2 linked regions of the Bombyx mori genome follow. The protein of the gene in region 2 interacts with the protein of the main gene of each other region in a pairwise test. Links are inferred from orthologs where the notes say so. Each region holds a gene or a part of one and is shown on either strand. Other genes may lie near its edges.

Region 1 (3,660 bases), on a different chromosome or scaffold from region 2:
TTTCGGTATCAGACCGAGGGAACTCGTTTTCCTCCCAGGCCAAGCGCGGCTGGAAACTTGTAGATGTATTAGCGAAGTAGCTCCCCTTGAATTGATAGGCCACGCGGAGGCGCTCGGACAGCACTAGTCGCACCCGCCGTACCCGCCCTGAGAAGATTAAGCCGGAGCGGATCCGGGCTACCATTTATCCCCCGAAAGAATAGAACAAAAATATCAATTCTTAGCTACTTACCAAAATGCTTTACTTCGTTGGTTGTTAATGTTTTTTTTGTGTTACTCTTGTAGGCAGACGAGCATACGGCCCACGTGATGGTGAGTGGCTACCGTCGCCCATGGACTTCAGCAATGCCAAGGGCAGAGCCAAGCCGCTGCCTACCGCTTAATACTCAAATGTCAAAGTAACATAACAAAGTGCTGATTTTAATATCTTGAAACTGTACCTTTAAATTTCAGGAACAAAACTATAACCCTGGAGAGACTAAAGCGCAGCATCATGACGGAGGTGCGCAGCGGTGATCAAGAGGGGCGTTGTCTAGCTCAGTACAAACGCGAGATGGAGCTGCTGCAGCAGGAGAAGATGAGCCATGTGGAGGAACTTCGACAGATACATGCCGATATTAATGCAGTAAGCTATCTATATATTAATACGTGAAGCAAAAACTTTCTACCATTTCTTACGAAAATTGCGCGGACGGAGGAGTATGAAATTTCCCACACTTATAGAGAATAATAATATAGAGAAGGAGTGCACAATGGTATTTTTTTTATTTTATATTATGCATTAAAAATACTTTAAATCAATAAAGAAAACATTACACACACTACCATGTATTTGACACACACACACACATATACTCTTTGTTTATTGTCAAACTTTTGTTATTGCTTAAAGTCTGTAGTCAAATTGAGAATAGGTTAATATTCTTTATTTTTAATATTACAAGTATTTGTCAATAGTGTAGTCTTGGCGAAATCTGCGACTATAGAAATATAATAGTCCAAACTTATAATATTAATTAATTATAGTCGAATTTCGACTACTGCGGGAACACTAGTTTTAATTAATATTAGGTCTTTACTTATGAAGTTGCTGTTTAGTTCATAGAAAGTTAAAGTAATTTTTTTTTATAAATCTATTAATTAAAATAAGCACCCCTGGTATTGATATATTTGTCAGCGCAGTGGTAAATTTTCAACGGCCTTCTTGAAGAAGTCAGGTACGGAACAAATAAACCGTTCAAAGGGCTTTTGTACTGCTTCTAGGGTACTAAATTTTTTCCTTGCTAAAAAATTGTCTATACTTTGGATAAAGTAGAAGTCTGTCGACGCAAGGTCTGGCAAGTAAGGCGGATGACGCAAACCTTTCAAACCTAGCTTTTGTAGCTTAGATAACGTCTGTTGTGGCATATGAGGTTCAGTGTTGTCGTGTAAGGGCAGCGGGGACTAGCGATTAACTAAGGCCAGCTGAAGATTCTCTAGCTTCTCCATCATTGTGTCCAGTTCTTCACAGTTCACATTGGCAGTAATGCTAGTGCTATTTGTTGAGCTGTGATGAAATATACTAGCACTCGACCAAATATTGATGTACAGTGTCGGGGACAGAATCTCCCACGAGATGCCCGTACGGAGGTGGCCACAATAAGCGACTCCGCTACATTCCTCGCGCGACATCCGCGCCCCGCAAGGACAGCACCCACCTTAGATTTAATTCGGAATGTGTTTACCTTGCCAAACTACAAACTGCAACTTAAGCCGCTTATAAACTAGCTCCCTGCGACTATACTGGGATAGCCGATAATCTCCATAAGAAAAAGAGGATTTGCGGAGTCATCATTCCTAAAAAAGAATACTTTGTCCGGATTCATACAAGAATATTATATGATTTTGCGGATTCAATGAATATGCGCTAAAAAAACCTGGTATTGAAAACATGCTAGTAAAGAACAGTTCTAGGGCTGCCACACTCAATAATGGCGATGTTATATTTTTTTTTAATCGTCATGAGGTTGTGGCTCTTGCCACCATACAAACTTATTTGACTATGGCCTGAATCTCGCTTACGACATTTTCAAGATAAACTTGCATATATATACAAGTTCCGAACAACAACATACTGACCGTCGGTCTACCGAGCAATATCACCCGCTCGGTGGAAGATCTTCCCTTTGTCGTATAACTACGCGGCGTGATCGCAGACCGGCTTAACATGAGGGCGGAAGGTCATGGATGTATTCAGAATGACTTCGAGATATGAATGGCCTTCCTAGAACAGGGTATTTGAATGGCACGAGAAGATGACCGGGGGCCGATGTGACAGGGACTCGCATAGTATCCTCACTTTAAAGGAGCACGGCCATGTTTCCCGCAGGGCTCACTTCGAATAAATATGCTTCAAAGAGCAGAGTCGCGTTTTGGTTTTATTTTTAAACCGGCGGCCCTATATAAGAGTTGTTGTTTGTTTACATTGTCTACAGTTAAACTTTACTGGCAGAGAACATTCGTATCATGTCGATTGTGTTTATTTGAACGCGCCCGTTGTTGCAGGCCGCGCACGCGACTAGCTCATTGTCGTTTTAAATAGAAATTATTGTTTTTTGTTCGGATTCTGTTCTATTGGCCTAAGGTTAGAATGAATCAGTTAATGACGCATTTATTGAAACTAGAAAGCAGTATGGTCTGAATTCGGTCACTTCAAATATATATATACGTGAAGCAAAAACTTTGTACACCTTATAGAAAATATAGAGAAGGAGTGCAGAACGCTAATATATTTTTTTAATTATGTATAAAAATACATTAAATCAGCTTGAAAAACATTACACACACTCCCATATATTTGAAACACACACGCATATATACTCTTTGTTTATTGTCAAACTTTTGTTATTGTTTAGTCTGTGGTCTATTTGAGAATAGATTGAAATTTTTTGTCGTTAATATTATTTGTTAATAGTGTAGCCATGGCGAAATCTGTGATTACAGAAGTTTTATAGTCTTTGACAATAAAACCATAATAATGTTTAAGCTTATAATTGAAATTAAATATGGTCGTATTTAGACCACTGGGCGAACGCTCGTACAAAATTAATGGGTTTTATTTTTAGAGTATCAACTATTTTCACATAATGATGTAATAAATAAAATTAATGTTCTTCAGTTGGAAATTCGCGTTTGATCGAGGCTTCTTTAGAAATAACACAAACGGTGTACAAGACATCACACACCACTTGTATTCTTGTGACGGTAAATATTTAACATTAAAACAACAAACATCATGGAATAAGGGTAATTGGATAAAATTTCATATTACATACGAGTTCCGAACGACAACATAAGGGCCGCCGGCGTCCGAGCAATATCCCTCTCTCTCCCTCTCTCTCTCCCTGTTTCTCTCTCTCCCTCTCTCCCTCTCCCTCTCCCTGCTTCTCTCTCTCCCTCTCTCCCTCTATGGAAGTATTTCTTCTCGTACCGCACCGCAGCCTCCACCACATTATTTTGAGTCACTATCCCTCTCGGACCAGCGTTGTAGTTGACTAAATACGTAATATATGTTAAATCTGTAAATATGTTTCTCAAATATAATCGTTTAAAGTATTCGGTGGAGGCGAAGAGGTCAATCAGAAGCTGTGTGTTATAGAAGGTGTACAGCGAATGTGTAAA
Region 2 (3,760 bases):
CAGCAATGAGGGAGCGATAGAGAAGAAAGAATACTTGCATCATAACCAGCAACCAACAAGCCCACACCCAAGGGTCGCTTGTCGTATCTCTGGGTACAAATCTGCATTTTGTTACCAACTGACGAGATGAGACGTCCAACGGGCATTGGAGCATCATGAGAATATCGGTGATTGAGACACTCTGTGCGCATGTAGCGACTGAAACAAAACATAATTCCATTATTAAATCGTTTTAATCCATTTGCATTTATGCTAATTAACCATTTTATTATGAAAGGTACGGATAGATGCTGGAAAAAACCTGGCAGGGCACAGAGAATATCAAAATCCATATATGAAGATTTAAATATTCCCTTGGAAATTTTTAATATTAAATCATGTAACATATCCATAGCATGCTTCTTCATGCAACTTCAATAACTTTATATTAGACTAGCGGCCCGCTCTGGCTCCGCTCGGGTCTTTAACAAAAACTTCAATGATATTTGATATTGTTTTATTTTTTCAAATAACACTTCTTGCGGCATAACTATAATAGTTAGACATAATTATGCTGTCGCGACACTTTTTGTGAATAATACTGTGTTCTACAAAGTCGTTGTATATTATTTTATTCTATCATCAATAGTTTTTGCAGGGCACGCGATGTGAAGAATATTTTATGTAATATTTTTACACCTTGGGTTACATTAAGTATTGGAGTTTTAGTAAGGATCCCTCATTTTTTCAAAAAAGATTATAGCCTATGTCACTCGGGAATAGTGTAACTTCCAAACAGCGACAGAATTTTTCAAATCGGTTCAGTAGTTTCGGAGCCTATTCAATACAAACAAAGAAACAAATCTTTTCTCTTTATAATATTATTTGTGTTGTTTGTGTAATATTATTTGTGTTTCTCTTTATAATATTATTTTAATATTGTGATACTTTTTTTACATATAGTCCAAGCATCTTAGTGGTGATACAGAAAAACAATCTTTCTGGTAGTTAATTAGATAGCTGCAAGCACAATGGTACTGTATTTAATTGTACTTATAGAGAATATTTTATTATCAGAATTTTTTTTACTGAATGAACACTTATTACCATACAATTCATCAAATTAATGGAAGAATTTATATAGTTAGCTGTTTTCAACAGTTTAGAGGACAGAATTAAGATTTCTATTTTTTTTTCTTTCCTATTATGTTTGGAGCTTGCATTGGACAAAGTAATTGTATATAGTAATGTGCTTTTACTAACAAAAGTGTAAGTTTTCATATTTCATTATAATTCACAATAATTTGTCAGCCTTCATTACATGACAAACCAGGCTTAAATGTACTTGATGTGAATAAATAACTGGGAACAAATCACGAACAAGGTCTGCTTAGGTTTAGGTAACTGTCTAGTTCTATCTATTTGTTTAGCTGGAATTATGAAAACCCAAAATTTCTGTTTGTGCGTTACACAAAAACATATTTATTTTATTTTAATAAAACTTATTAAGTAAGCTTAAAGGGTTTTGTTTAGTTGAAATTCATAATAAACAAAATATTTTAAAATATGGTCAAAAAAACAAATACATAATTACTGTTTAGGTCAAGCTCTAAACTAAGTAAGTCAGGATCAATATGCCTAATCTTGTAAGCCAATCAAAAGCGCGATTAAGACTTTGTTCAAAATTAAAAAAAAAAAGAGCCAGCAATGCTTGTCAATCAACTACTCTTCAACGGTTCAAATAAAAATTGCCAAATGGTTTTAAAGAAGTTAAATAAAAAAAAATCCATTTAACAACTGAAATGTTTTATGATTTTTAAAAATTATTTTTCTGTCCAATTCTACGTGTCTACTACCTATGTTTATGATACTGTATGTAATTGCTAGTAGCATTTAAGAACTACATATTTTCAATATAGGCGCCTGTTGAATTCCTACTAAAAGGAAGTAAAATATCTCAGATAGAAATCACAACATACCTCAGCATACGAGCATCTGCAGTAAGACCTGATATAGAAATTCCAATATGTTCATCAATAGGAATAATTTTCTTCTGATATGCGGACAATTCGCTCACAGCGCGTTTCAACGCTATCAACACCGCATAGTCCTTATTCTTCAGACCAATGGTTGCAGAACCAAGTTTCACAGCTTCCATTGCATACTCCACTTGATGGAGACGGCCTTGAGGACTCCATACTGTGACGTCGCTATCGTACTGGTTCCTGAACTGAAAAGCAAGTGACGGTTTTTTTTACTTGTGGTTGGTATAGGTTAAGAAGGTTAGTTATGACTGGACTACTTTGATCTTAGCAGTTTTCATATTTTTATATATTGATAAAACTTCTGCATGGCCGTATATATGCATTCAGCCGTATACATTCAGCTATTTTAGTATAATAAAGCTTTTTGCAGTGACTATGCAGATTTTTTTCTTTAAATAAAAGGATATATATTTGTCTTTTTAAAGAAATCTGGTAAAATTATTGACCACGATTACTTACCATTTTAAGTTTTATTTAATTTAGAAAAGTACAATTTCTACTATGAATTAATTTCATAAAATTAATGTAGCGGCGAAAGAAAAATATAGTTTACCATACAAGCAGACTAAGTATAGTCTATGCAGTGACTTTCTTAAAAGCATGGAGTTAATAAGTACCCAGAATAGTAACTCTATGCTTAAAAGTGACACTGACAATCACAATCTTTCAATTGTCAATCACTAATATTGTGAACTTAAAGCAAAGACTTACAGATCCAAGAACTTCTCTCTCGATTTATAGTAAAATATAATAATAGTTAGGTAATAAAATTATAATAATTAAAATATAATTACATAGTTTTATTTGATCTCGAAGTATATGGTGGAATTACGAATTTAGGCATAATGAGAAAACTGATTTAACACTACATATCTACATATTACCCGATAATGATAAACAGAAAGCAATTTTTTAAAGATAGAATTAATTATTATAATTAAATTGACACTAAATTTCTTGACTGATTTTTCAAAGGATCACGATTCCGATCTAGTGGTAGATTCTGCGAAGCACTGCTTTTGCTAGGGCTAGTGTTAGAAAATTTTGTCAGGTTGAGCCCCGTGAGCTCACCTACCTATCACTGCGCAGCTGAAATAGCTTCTTAGGCTAACAGCGGATAGGTAGGGGAATATTTAATTAAGCAAGCAACTTAACAGCCAAATCACTGTCAAAAAATAATATGAAAACATTAAGCTATTCCGTTTTTACGTTACTACAGATCTTTTAAAATAGAAAAGTAGAATTCGTCACTATGATGGAACTATTGAAGTCATCCAAAGTACTTTTAGAAGAAAAACATGTCACTCATTTCAAAGCCCAATGGTAGATGACAAGAGAGGTCTCTGAAAATGCACTGTGAACGCATTTAATTTATATGGATGAGTTCTAGTTCAGAAGAGGGGGTGCGATAGTAAAAACGAGTTAGCGGGATCATTTTGAAAATTCGATTGCTTTTAATTTTAGTAGTAGAACATAGATTTGATATAGTATATATTCTTGGAGGCTATTCTCTAATAGATTTTACCTACTTATTATACAAAATAGGCAGAATTGAATTAATAAGTTTTTTTCGAAACTTATTCAATTTTCAATTCAATTCTTTATTAAAGATTCGAATAGGAAATCTCAAAAGTTCTATTAATTATTACTTCAATTCTTCTCTATGATGCTTACATCTATATTTTATTTATGAAGATGTTGATGTTGATTATAGCAGATCTATACATATATGTACT

What was found. The genes of interacting proteins can lie anywhere in the genome.
Region 1: the proteins of proteasome subunit alpha type-1 (region 2) and zinc finger C4H2 domain-containing protein interact in a two-hybrid assay, tested with the Caenorhabditis elegans proteins (3 studies listed by BioGRID). The link is inferred for Bombyx mori from reciprocal best matches to the Caenorhabditis elegans genes pas-6 and vab-23.

What each region holds. Positions count from the first base shown.
Region 1 is NC_085129.1:15,695,910-15,699,569, reverse strand, and holds part of zinc finger C4H2 domain-containing protein, read left to right. Parts: intron 1-453; coding exon 454-625; intron 626-3,660.
Region 2 is NC_085120.1:6,273,795-6,277,554, forward strand, and holds the start of proteasome subunit alpha type-1, read right to left. Parts: upstream 2,669-3,760; 5' UTR 2,487-2,668; coding exon 2,484-2,486; intron 2,210-2,483; coding exon 1,959-2,209; intron 199-1,958; coding exon 39-198; intron 1-38. UniProt on the Caenorhabditis elegans protein: The proteasome is a multicatalytic proteinase complex which is characterized by its ability to cleave peptides with Arg, Phe, Tyr, Leu, and Glu adjacent to the leaving group at neutral or slightly basic pH.